3 linked regions of the Saccharomyces cerevisiae S288C genome follow. Changing the gene in region 3 together with the main gene of any one other region gives a genetic interaction. Each region holds a gene or a part of one and is shown on either strand. Other genes may lie near its edges.

Region 1 (3,515 bases), on a different chromosome or scaffold from region 3:
TTGACGAGGTTTACGATTATCAGTACATCTATAAGGGGAAGCAATAATTTCAATGATTAATTTTGTAAGGTGAACATTGACTGCCAGCAGGATAGATGATAGATAGACATAAACAAAATATACATAACACACGGTGGTGTTTTCTTTTTACACATAATATATTTAATTCTTTTTCTTTTTTTTTTTTTTTGGTTTACAAGTCCACTGAGGGACATTTTGAGTTATCACTTATGGTCTCCTGTAGCATTATTAAAAGAATAAATATCGAAAAGTATACATACTTAATAAAAACTTCAGGCTATTAAATAAACATCAGAACACATTGAGGACAAAGCCATAGAAGTTTGGAGTAGATACGGAATTTTTATTGTATGTATATATTATATATCTAAGCATTTTGCTTTTTTTTACTTCATAATCTTTCAGAAATCATTATATTAAACGGATAGTCATTTGTTTTCAAGGCGTGAAAAAACCTGAGAGGGAAAAGAATAGGACTTTTATAATCTCTTGATGACTGCTTCAGTGAATGATGAAGTAGTAGCAGTACCAGCCAAGTCACCTGTTCTGTTTTCTGGACCTGATGCGATAGTAGACAATACTGCATTTTGAATTTGGTCAGCATGATTCGTTAGACCCATGTGGTTTAACATCATTACTGAAGATAAAAGTAGGGCAGTTGGATTCGCTTTATCTTGACCGGCAATATCAGGGGCAGAGCCATGGACAGCTTCAAAGATCGAGATTTTATGACCAATATTGGCAGATGGAGTTAAACCTAAAGAACCGGCGCTCAAACCAGAGTTCAAGTCGGACAAGATATCACCGTATAGATTTGGACAAACAGAAACAGCGTCTGTGTAAGCAGATGGGTTGGTGACCACCTTTAACACACTGTTATCAATAAGTTCAGTTTCTAAAGTAAGGTCAGGATACTCTTTGGATAGTTCTTTGGCAACATTAACGAATAAACCATCAGCTAATCTCTGGATAGTAGATTTATGTACCACAATAACTCTTGGTCTGCCGATGGCTCTTGCATATTCAAAAGCGTATCTAATGACTCGCTCAGAGGCATCTCTTGTGATCAGTTTAATAGATTGAACAACGCCAGGGCAAACTATGTGTTCGATACCAGAATATTCACCTTCGGTATTCTCTCTGATAAGAACTAAATCAACGTTTTCGTAAGTGGTCTTAAAACCTTCAATAGACTTTGCGGGACGAACGTTGGCAAATAACCCAAATGTTTTTCTCAATGTCAAATTCAAAGATCTGTGACCTTTACCAATAGGTGTAGCTAGTGGACCTTTTAGTGCAACCAGGTTTTTTGTGATAGATTGTACGGCAGGGTCAGGAATGGTCGTTAATCCGTTGACAAAGATAGGGCTAACATCACAAGATTCCCATTCTATGGGGACGTTTGCTGCACTAAAGATTTTCTTTACAGACTTGGAAATTTCAGGTCCGATACCATCACCTTCAATGAACGAGACCGTGTATTTGCCGGTAGAAGGGTTAGGTTTGCCGGTATATCTTCCGATTGAAGGTTGCTTTACAGTAGCCAAAAACCTCCTCGAGGTGTTTCTAAAAAAAGTATTTCTCAACATTATTAAAAAATATTATAATTGTTGTTCGTTCCCGATCTGTATCTTATTATCTACCAAGGTAATTCAGGTTCAGAAAAAGTGTATCCAATAATGTCATGCACTTGGAATATATATTTATATAAATATGAATAATAAATGAAAAAGAAATAAGAAAAGAGGAAAACTTTAGAAGGAGGGTTTTTCTGATATGACTATGATGAGAAACTAAAACCTTAGGGCCTATAATAAGGGACCTATGAGCTTTTCAATAACTTATATATTCTTTAACCAAACAATGGAAGTTACAGAAAATAGGAACTGACCAACCAGAGCGGCCCGTGTCATGCCCCCCCTTGCCGAGATGCGGACCGAGATTGCTGAAAGAAGCGCCGAGTATCGCAAAAGGCCCCTGGCGGGGCAACGACAATTTCTTCGCCGAACCTCGGAATCGACTAGCAGATCACAGTGCTTAGGAAGCTAAGGCTGCGTTCTAGAAGGGCTAGTGAGTCTTCTCAACCATGACTGTCGTTGTTTGTGTTTGGTTTTATGTTCACCTCTAGGAACTCTTTCTGTAGGGTCTTTGATGCCAGTATTGCTGCTGTTTCCAACGTTCCCAAGTAATTTACTAAGTCTGGGAGAAAGGGACTCTGCACTCAATGTTCTACCTTTAAAGGATCTCGGTACAGAAAGCCCATTGTTATCAAAATCTATTGGGCTAGGAAACAGTGCATGATGATGATGATGATGATGATGTATGGTAAAATTGTTGGAGTCAGAAAGTGCACGTGACCTTGGAAGCATATGGTCATCTATTGAAGGGTGCACAAAATCTTCTTCATCGGAGTCAATAGCCATTTCAGGAACGGTAATGTTGTTAAACTTTGCTACTGTTCCTGCATGCGGCATGGTGTCCTTATTCGCTTTTTCCGTATTCGGTATTATATCTGAAGCGTGTAGTATGAGGAATTCGATGACAGTTCTGGAAGCCTCATACTCTTTCGGGCACATTTCATCCTTGGGATGAGACAAAAGTGAGGGTTGTACGATGGCCGCTAAATTGCTTGCTGACATTAAATTCTTCTTTTCATTTCTTGCAAATAAATTCAAGAGCGCGGCTAAATAAAGTATTAAATGGCGATTTTGTTGTGGTAAGAGCATATAAATATCTTCGTAGTCCTTAATGATTTGTTCTTTGTGCTCATTTATTTTTGGGTTTTCTAATATTGGATTTCTAAAAATGTCGTATAATGCTAGGGGAACCAAAGGCTCACTTAATGAGTTCAAATATCTTTTTAATAAAGTTGCAATGTCATGAACATTGAAATCACACCATCCTTCAAATTTACGACCATAATCGGGCGGTTTAGAGAAAACAGCTTGTAGCTCTCTAACACGTTTATTGCTTCCCGCAATACGGAAAATTCCTGTTGTGTCTAATGCATTCTCTTTTAGGTATTTCCCACTTTTTGCTATTACCACCGGTATGGAACCAATTTCATTTGTACTTTTTTGGATAATTACTTCCTCTTGAGCAACTTTCAGTGATTCCTCGAGTGAGACGCCAAATACTTTACCATCAAATTCGTTTTGCAAATTAGTAAAGGTGTCCCTATCCTTCTTGCCCTCAACAGAAGACATTGAAGATGACCTATTCTGTGGAGAACCCTCTTCAGAAGAAGGTGTAGAAAGTAGATTCATGTTAAACATTCTATTTTATGTTGTGTAATAAGATATGTCCAGAAATATACTATGGTTATTTATGTACTCTTTCCTGTGTACGCGTTTCGATTATTTTGCAGGTTATATTATATACTGCTATCACATGCTAAAACAAGAGTATCTAACAATGGGAACACAAAGCAAGTATTGATTTACTCATTCCAGTTGTGTAATTTTCTTCTAAAGATGTACTTAAATAAGAAGAAA
Region 2 (4,821 bases), on a different chromosome or scaffold from region 3:
AGATAGGGACAGGATTTTCGGACGAAATGTTGCAGCTTTTGCACGACAGGTTGACCCCGACGATCATTGATGGACCAAAAGCCACGTTTGTTTTCGATTCGAGTGCTGAGCCAGATGTATGGTTCGAACCTACGACTTTGTTTGAAGTTTTGACTGCAGACCTTTCCCTATCGCCTATTTATAAAGCAGGTAGTGCAACTTTTGATAAAGGCGTATCCTTAAGATTTCCAAGATTTTTGCGTATAAGAGAAGACAAGGGCGTAGAAGATGCAACCTCTTCTGACCAGATCGTCGAATTGTATGAAAACCAATCCCACATGCAAAATTAGATGTGCACACTATTTTTCTCAATTAATCATTAAAAAAAAAAAAGAGGGCGTTCTGTTCAGCTCCAAAACGCCGCATCACATATAATGACATTTATTTACTTCTTTCGTTTCTCTGTCTACCTTACATAATAGCATTATAAAACAATAAGAAATCTCTTTGGCACTTTTCCCACCTTTGTGGGTCAAAAAACACATATGATCCCCTTTCACTTAAACCATCAGCGGATACAATAGGTTCCATCATAGGATCTTTGGTGAGCCAGGCCTTCAACGTCTTGTGGTATCTCCAGTTCCTTTTCCTGAGTTCCAAATACGTTAGTTCCTGGATGACTGTACCAGGGTGTTTATAGAAGAGGAAAAATAGAGTTTCATCTTGAAAAAGGGCAACACGCTGTTGGTCATTTTGGATGGAATTGAAGCATGGTGGAGTTACAGTGGATTGTAATACGCCCGGAATATTGGTGAATGATTCTGGTGTGAAAAATCGGGGCTCCACTTCGCTTCTGGATGTTTCTGCCCACGGTGATTGAAAAGTATCGAGGACTCTGTGATCTTGTGAATCTCTTGGAATACCCAACGAATATAGCATCGACGATAAGTCCGCTCCTAAGGTCATGGAATGGTCATATGTACTTGAAAGTTCTTTGTCCTCTAGCTTAAGGAGCGGTACTAGCGCTTTTAAACCAAATTTTTCCATTATGTAGGGAATAGTATATTTTGATTCTCTTCTCTTCCTGTTTTTCCTTGTGGTTTTTGCATATCTAGTTTAAAAAATGCCTGTTTTGCTATTATCTTATTAATGTTCGCCTCGCTTTTTCGCAGTTATAAAAAAATACTCACATAATAATATACTTCATAACAAAAGAGCTCACTCTTTATAAATCATACACAAGACTCGTAGAAAGGAACTATTAGAAAATAAAGAAATACTTTGTTATATAAAGATGGAAGCAAGACGGTATGGACCGAATATCATTGTTACAGGAACACCAGGATGTGGCAAGTCGTCTACGTGTGAGTTTTTAAAAAATAAACTGAAGGATTACAAATACTATAACATTTCGGATTTCGCCAAAGATAACGACTGTTTCGAAGGATATGATGAGGGCCGTAAATCGCACATTGTCGATGAAGACAAACTGCTGGACATGCTAGAGCCTCTTTTGAGACAGGGAAATAGTATTGTCGATTGGCATGTCAATGATGTGTTCCCAGAGAGGCTGATTGACTTGGTGGTGGTGTTGAGATGCGATAACTCTAACTTGTATTCAAGATTGCATGCAAGAGGCTATCATGACTCTAAGATCGAGGAAAACCTCGATGCCGAGATTATGGGTGTCGTCAAACAGGATGCCGTGGAATCATACGAACCGCACATTGTGGTAGAGCTACAAAGCGATACGAAAGAAGATATGGTATCTAACGTATCCCGTATTGTTGCTTGGGAAAAGATGTGGTTAGAACAACATCCAGATGGAGTCACAAATGAATATCAAGGGCCTCGTAGCGATGACGAAGACGATGAAGACAGTGAGTAGGCGTTCCATAACTTTGTGTATCTACATATATACATATATAATTGTAAATTAGTAACAGTAGTAATAGTAGTGCCTATTATAAAGGGTTTTCTTTAAGTAATGTCATGTACTTGTTTAATGTGACTTTGGTAATATATTTTCATTCTCCGATGCCGATGCCCAGTGGAAAAGTTTAAAGTGAAAAATTTTTCAACACATACAAGTTTAATAAGTTGGTTTTGATGCAAATAGCATTACTAAAGAAGAGCGCTAGGATAATTGTGCATTGCTATTGTGATTTTTGATACAGAAATTATGCACTATGTGGTACTAGAGCTGCAAGTTGCGCATTTGCCAGATACCCCCAAGGATCAATGTCGCATTGCGAATATAGCATTTCAAATTGTGAATGCTGAAACATTAGTATGCCATTATGGGACCAATTCTTTACCGAGCATTGAAGTAAACGGGACGACAAAGAGTTTGGAGAGTGCAATGGTGCAATTGGACAAGGATATTCATGACGTTATTGGTAACGACGACTTTGTTCTTGTTTCCCTGTATTCAACATGGCATATCCGTGTTACCTTACCACGTCAAGCGAGAGATGATGGGTTTATTCTTACTTCTTATTTACAACATCCGAAAGTATTTGACTTATGGAAGGAATTCGATAGATGGTGTGTCAACCATCCGGAGATTTTGGGACAAAAGAAAGCAATCTCCAACAACAATTGTAATACTAAAAGTATTAGTATTAATGCAGCCAAAAATACGAAGGATTTGGACGAAATAGTTAGAATATTGGAAGTTTCAATCCCAACTGAAGAGGCAGGCTCTGTTCCAGAGATATACTCTCTTTTAAAAAGGACAACGGATATATTAATACAATTGCACAAAAAGTGTACTTCCCCTGAAGATATGGAATCTGTCTTAACAAAACCATATGACTCACACACCGATATTAGAGCGTTTTTGCAAGAGAAATCTAAGATTTTGTACATGAACAATTTACCGCCCGACACAACTCAAAGTGAGTTGGAATCATGGTTTACCCAATATGGTGTTAGACCAGTTGGGTTTTGGACTGTCAAAAACATCGTAGAAGATACGTCTAACGTTAATAATAACTGGAGTCTAAATAACAGTCCCTATGTGGAAGATCAAGATAGTATCTCAGGATTTGTTGTCTTCCAAACACATGAAGAAGCAACTGAAGTACTAGCGTTGAATGGGAGATCAATCCTATCTAATCTGGCAAACACTAAGCAACCAAGGGTGGTGGAACATGTCCTTGAGCTTCAACCTTCTTCCACCGGAGTACTCGATAAGGCTCAAGAAATTTTATCGCCTTTCCCTCAAAGTAAAAACAAACCAAGACCAGGTGACTGGAATTGCCCATCTTGTGGTTTTTCAAACTTTCAAAGACGTACTGCATGTTTTAGATGTTCTTTTCCGGCACCATCAAATAGTCAAATACATACTGCGAACTCAAACAATAATGTTAACAGTAGTAGAAATAATTTAAACAATCGCGTGAACTCGGGATCTTCAAGCAATATTAGTAACACTGCAGCGAATCACCCCTATGGTGCCCCTGAGTTCAACATGATTGCTAACAACACGCCAGCAGCTTTAACATACAATAGAGCTCATTTTCCTGCAATTACGCCATTGTCGCGACAAAATTCATTGAACATGGCACCATCGAACAGTGGGTCGCCGATAATTATAGCGGATCATTTTTCGGGAAATAATAATATAGCCCCAAATTATCGTTATAATAATAATATTAACAATAACAACAATAATATTAACAATATGACCAATAATAGATATAACATTAATAACAACATCAACGGTAATGGGAATGGTAATGGGAACAACAGTAATAACAATAACAATCATAATAACAATCATAATAACAATCATCATAATGGTAGTATCAATAGTAATAGTAATACCAATAATAATAATAATAATAACAATGGTAACAATAGTAATAATTGTAATTCCAATATCGGTATGGGAGGATGTGGCTCCAACATGCCATTTAGAGCAGGAGATTGGAAGTGTTCCACGTGCACGTATCATAACTTTGCTAAAAACGTAGTGTGCTTACGCTGTGGTGGTCCAAAATCAATAAGCGGCGATGCAAGTGAAACCAATCATTACATAGATTCATCAACATTTGGACCAGCGTCGCGTACTCCCAGTAATAACAATATTTCTGTTAATACTAATGGTGGTAGCAATGCTGGTCGCACCGATGGGAACGATAACAAAGGTCGTGATATTAGTTTGATGGAATTTATGTCACCACCGTTATCGATGGCAACAAAGTCAATGAAGGAGGGAGATGGGAATGGTAGCTCGTTTAACGAGTTCAAAAGTGACAAAGCTAACGTTAATTTTTCCAATGTTGGTGATAATAGCGCTTTCGGTAATGGTTTTAATAGTTCAATACGTTGGTAGTTAGGAACAGGCGAGGTCAATAAATTTCACACAACCACATTGTATTTTTTATTTTTACACTTTTATATATTTATATACTTTTTCTACCCTTACTTTTTTCTTCAGGTCTAACTGATTGCTGAAGAACGTAATTGTGCGCATATATATGATATTTGATAGAATGTAGGACGTTGATTTTCAAAGTATTCCAGAAAATTTGAGTCATGCTTACTTAGTTTAATTAAGTACTCCTATTTTATTTCATCAGACTTCAAGACGGTTCTTAAGCAATCACCGTTATGCAAATCTTCAAAGGCTTGATTGATTTCTTTGAATGGTCTCCTGTGAGTGATAAATTCTTCGACTTTTAAGGCACCTTTTTGATAGTCTTTAATTAAACCGCCCATTTCAGATCTACCTTTGATGCCACCAAAAGCAGAGCCTTTCCACACTCTACCAGTGACCAGCTGGAACGGCCTTGTAGAAATTTCTTCACCAGCGGCAGCCACACCAATGATAAT
Region 3 (5,275 bases):
AATTCCCCATACTATCCTCGACAACGGGCCTAAACTTCTCCCTGAAGGATTGTCTTTCCCTGGACACAGGAAAAGATGCATCTGATATGACAGAGGTGTTTCTCGCTACTATGGAGTCGAGTAAAGTTCTTCGTACGTATAGCAACCTCGTTGACATTGTGATGAAGGACAATGGTAGGTTGGACTCAGGCGTCCTAAAGCAATTCAACGACTACGTTAAGCAAGAAAAGCTCAATCTACAACATTTTCAGGCCGGTTCCTCAAAGTTTCTCAAAGGCGCAAAGATATAATCCTCTTATATAGCATGTAAATAGAAAGTACGTAAAAAAAAGCTACTATTGACTTTATTCTCCGTGAGGGCGGTTCTTTCTGTAGCTGTTGGTTTTTTCCAGATCTTATGTGACACACCTGCACAACAATGTCATTCTCTGTCAGCTGCAAGACTCCCAAGACCACGAAGCTGCTGGTATCTTCTATTTCAGAGAGCGCTGTTGCTCTTATTATTATTACCATACGTATACTTTTTTCCATTGGCAAAAGCGATTTCAAAAAAATAATCTCCAAGGAAATAAATGGTGCAGAAACAATATACTACAGAAATATACCGGAAAGTAAACCCCAAGGGAGTTAGCACAAGATGAATCTAAGATTTGAATTGCAGAAACTATTGAACGTTTGCTTTTTGTTTGCATCTGCTTACATGTTCTGGCAAGGCTTAGCCATTGCTACTAATAGCGCTTCTCCGATCGTGGTGGTGCTTTCAGGCTCCATGGAACCAGCTTTCCAAAGGGGTGATATCCTTTTCCTATGGAATAGAAATACTTTCAACCAAGTAGGTGATGTCGTGGTGTATGAGGTCGAAGGGAAACAAATCCCCATTGTGCATAGAGTTTTGAGGCAACATAACAATCACGCGGACAAGCAATTCCTCCTGACCAAAGGTGACAATAACGCCGGCAATGATATCTCACTATATGCTAATAAGAAAATTTACTTGAACAAGTCAAAGGAGATTGTAGGGACCGTCAAGGGCTACTTTCCACAACTAGGGTACATTACGATTTGGATTAGCGAGAACAAATATGCCAAGTTTGCATTGTTAGGTATGTTGGGGTTGAGTGCTCTGCTGGGGGGCGAGTAGTTCGCCAAGTTTTTTTGGAACGATGTTTACGTACTTTGTATTTGTGCTTATGGTCTTTAACTTGTTTAATTATATAACCATAACCATTCGGTCCACGCTGAAAACAAAATATTGTCTTAGGACACGCTTTGAGAATTATTGAAAAAGGAGCTCCCACAGTGATGTAGGCAATTCAACAGAGATGATTTGTGTCATTTTTTATAAGGTGATACCGTCGCTCATTAACTCGATATCTTGAAAAGGCATATGTGTCGGTAATTGAGACCGCTAGGTTTAACTTCTCGAATAAAAAATGGTCTAAGCTGCATAAGCATATAGAATTGTACAATCAGTGTATAGGTAGAGCAGAAGCAGTCCAAGATTCGAGCTAATAATACTCATATAATATCCATCGCGATGGGTATTATATGAAACATAACAATCGTACATGGTGATTGAAAATAATAGATGATAAGAATCATTTTCAAATAATAGTGTAGATCTTAAAAACTCTTGGCCTGTTTAGACGAGCGGCAGAACGACAGGCAGCCATACTATCAAATGGACCCTCACCAATCACCAGCTGATAATGCCGCATCGCCTACGAAGAGCGTGAAGGCAACCACTAAAAATTCGTCCACGAATAATAATGTCAATAGCAACAACAGCAATAATAACAGTAACCATGATATACTGAATTTTAATGATAACTATACTACCATTCTGCAACATTTGGCAAACGACCATCCTAATATACTGAGGGAGAAAGGAGGATCACAACAACAACAGCATCAGCAGCAGCAACAACAGCAACAACAGCAGCAACAACAGCAGCAACAACAGAGCCTGGATACCCTTTTGCACCATTATCAAAGTTTACTCTCCAAGAGTGATAATGCAATAGCCTTTGATGACAATGTTAGTAACAGCGCAGATCATAATGGCAGTAATAGCAACAATAATAACAACAATAATGACATATCTAGTCCCGGTAATCTGATGGGATCTTGCAATCAATGTAGATTAAAGAAAACAAAGTGCAACTATTTTCCCGACCTAGGCAACTGTCTCGAATGTGAAACGTCAAGAACTAAATGCACCTTCAGTATTGCTCCAAATTATTTGAAAAGAACGTCCTCTGGGGCAAACAATAACATGCCAACCTCTTCAAACTCCAAACGAATGAAAAATTTTGAAGACTATTCGAATCGCTTACCCAGTAGCATGCTCTATAGACATCAACAGCAGCAGCAACAGCAACAGCAGCAACAGCGTATACAATACCCCAGATCCTCTTTTTTCGTCGGTCCGGCCTCAGTTTTCGATTTGAACTTGACCAAGCATGTAAGACTAGATAATGTTGACCAAATACAGCTATCAAAAACTTTATCATTAAGAAAGGTGTCTCCTACCGCACAGTTTATTCTTCAGGACGATTTTGACACGACCCTTCATAGTAAGCAAGAATACGAAGTTGATTTGGTCGAAAATCTGGTACATCCGCACGGTCACCTTTTAGTAGAGATTTTCTTCAAATTGATTCATCCTTTTCTTCCAATTTTACACGAACGTGTATTTTTGGAAAAGTATTCTAGATCTTATAGAGAACTCACTGCGCCTTTACTGGCATCCATTTACTCACTGGCATTACAATATTGGGATTTTCATCCTGCACTTTTGGGGTTCCCTAAACCCGATGTAACTGCTCAACTAAACAATATCGCATTGGAAACATTTTATGCTCGAGTTGGAAGGCCAAAATTGAGCATTATACAAACAGGCCTTTTGATTTTGCAATGCCGTAGTGAATGTCATAACAACTGGGTCCTCTGCTCCAGCGTAGTGGCCCTTGCAGAGGAATTGGGGCTCGGGGTTGAATGTAATGATTGGAAACTTCCCAAATGGGAAAAAGATTTGAGAAAGAGATTAGCGTGGGCAGTTTGGTTGATGGATAAATGGTGTGCATTAAACGAAGGTAGACAATCCCATTTAATTTTAGGTAGGAACTGGATGATCAAGCTATTAAACTTTGATGATTTTCCTCTGAATTCGCCCACTATTTTAAATTCCTTGCAAAATGACCAGTCGGGGTCTTCACCCTCGTCATCAAATGATGTGAAAAACCATCAGATAGCATTTGGTAACTTGCCCATATTTAACATAAACCCCACTTTAGAAGATTTCAAGAATGGAACGCTTATGTTTCAACAAATGGTTTCCTTGAGTATAATTCTTGGGGAAATCATGGACACATTTTACACTCAGGGATCCATGACAATAAACAAAAGCATTGAACAGGTATTGAAACTGGCAAAGCCGTTGCAACTGAAATTAAGAGAATGGTACCATTCCCTACCCAAGAATTTGTCAATGAGTTATGCCACGCCACAAAAATTGAACTCAAATTCAACTTTAACTCTAGCTTATTTTGCCACGGAAATTACGTTACATAGGAAAATTATCTGTGCCTTGAATCCTCAAACTCCAAAGGAACTGGTTCAAGTATGCAGGACTGCTGCAAGAACCAGGCTTGTAGCAGCAATTGAATTTATAAGAGATCTAAAAAACGAACATATTAATGCTTTTTGGTATAACTGCTCAACTGGAAATCTGATGCTAATTGGAACATTTGCTGCCCTGCTGTATGTGACTTCAGCTACGAAGGAAGAGGCTATGATTTTCAGAGATTATGTTAGAAATTATACCTGGGTATTGAAGATAGGTTCCAAATACTTTGATAAACTATCGAATGCTTTGAATAATATGCATTTACTATTTGCACAAATTCCTGGTCTTCTGACCGATGAACCGGTGGTCGTGAGCCCTAACTCTAACATCAATTCCGTTAACCCACAAAGGTCAGGTGTACAATCGCAAATCCCAATACAATTTAACGTGGGATCACCTGCCATGACCGAGCAAGGATCTCCTTTAAACCAGTGGAAGAATTTGCCCCAGGAAATCTTGCAACAACTAAACTCCTTTCCCAACGGTACGACCAGTACAACAACGCCAGTAAACCCCACTTCCAGACAAACACAACTAGAATCGCAGGGAAGTCCAGCCATAAATAGTGCTAATAATAATAGCAACAACACGCCTTTACCATTTGCGCCAAATAAGTCTTCTAAAAAAACTTCACAATCTTCACCAAATGTTACGCCCTCTCATATGAGCAGACACCCCCCCTCTAATACATCTTCACCAAGAGTCAATTCCAGCACAAATGTCAACTCTAATACACAAATGAATGCTTCTCCCTTGACCTCAATTAACGAAACCAGACAAGAGTCAGGTGACGCTGCAGATGAAAAAACAGCAGGAAGAGAAAGAACCGCCAACGAGGAATCATCAACGGAACTCAAGGACGATAATCCAAACTCGAACCAGGAAACAAGCGCAACTGGTAACCAAACTATAAAAATGAATGATGATAAAAATGTAACAATTAACACAAGGGAAACCCCTCTGTAATATAAATAATAGCACATAAGTAAAAATGGAATACGGTAATAACTATATAGAAATATCTTCTGCAGGACCAAGGTTACTGAGTGGTGAATGTAAAATTATTTATTCGCTTGCGTTATATTTACATGTGGTATATCCGGATGCATAGAGCCTACTATAGAAATTTTGGGATTTTATCATGTTCTTTGGCGATTTCATTCAAATCACCTGGTTGGTTCATCATCATATGGACATCACCACTTAGGTAAACCTTTTCATCTTCTTTTTTCGACTTTTCTAAATCTTTTAGAACATTCAAATCAGTGACAATCCCTTCTTTGTTCTTAACGCCAGCATCTGGAGTTTTTTCGATTACTTCTTTTTTTGCCTCGTCTATTATACTTTGCCAGATCTCTTCCAATGACTCTTCCTTAGGAACCACAATATCAGTCTCATCTTCCTTCATCCCAGTTGCGTTCTTGCCGACGATTCCTAAACGCAAATTCACAAGTTTCAATTCATCATCTGCGTCGAAGTCTACCTTTCCATTATTATCATGAACCCTCCGTATCAGCTCTTTCAATTTATCAAGTTTTAGCTTATATTTCCTTTCCATATCAATAATGTTCCTTTTCTCGGCTATTACTGCGTTTAATATCGACCCAAATATCATTACCAAAAGTAAAGGTTTGATCATTGTTTTAT

The links. Genes that interact genetically often act in the same process or in processes that back each other up.
Region 1: mutations in DAL81 (region 3) and IDH2 together harm fitness more than expected from each alone (negative genetic interaction), as found in Saccharomyces cerevisiae (2 studies listed by BioGRID).
Region 2: mutations in DAL81 (region 3) and NRP1 together harm fitness more than expected from each alone (negative genetic interaction), as found in Saccharomyces cerevisiae (2 studies listed by BioGRID).

Annotation. Positions count from the first base shown.
Region 1 is NC_001147.6:578,345-581,859, reverse strand, and holds IDH2 (isocitrate dehydrogenase (NAD(+)) IDH2), read right to left. Parts: upstream 1,611-3,515; coding exon 501-1,610; downstream 1-500. Other genes in the region: SIA1 (Sia1p), read left to right, coding at 1-47; GTPase-activating protein BAG7, read right to left, coding at 2,067-3,296. UniProt on the Saccharomyces cerevisiae protein: Performs an essential role in the oxidative function of the citric acid cycle. Also binds RNA; specifically to the 5'-untranslated leaders of mitochondrial mRNAs.
Region 2 is NC_001136.10:160,495-165,315, reverse strand, and holds NRP1 (Nrp1p), read left to right. Parts: upstream 1-2,161; coding exon 2,162-4,321; downstream 4,322-4,821. Other genes in the region: DNA ligase (ATP) CDC9, read left to right, coding at 1-329; CCR4-NOT core subunit CDC36, read right to left, coding at 451-1,026; FAP7 (nucleoside-triphosphatase), read left to right, coding at 1,274-1,867; SFA1 (bifunctional alcohol dehydrogenase/S-(hydroxymethyl)glutathione dehydrogenase), read right to left, coding at 4,552-4,821. UniProt on the Saccharomyces cerevisiae protein: May play a role in chromatin organization.
Region 3 is NC_001141.2:398,096-403,370, forward strand, and holds DAL81 (Dal81p), read left to right. Parts: upstream 1-1,681; coding exon 1,682-4,594; downstream 4,595-5,275. Other genes in the region: MRS1 (Mrs1p), read left to right, coding at 1-290; YIR021W-A (uncharacterized protein), read left to right, coding at 419-631; signal peptidase complex catalytic subunit SEC11, read left to right, coding at 638-1,141; INA22 (Ina22p), read right to left, coding at 4,746-5,275. UniProt on the Saccharomyces cerevisiae protein: Positive regulation of genes required for catabolism of GABA (UGA4, UGA1, and UGA2), urea (DUR1 and DUR2), arginine and allantoin.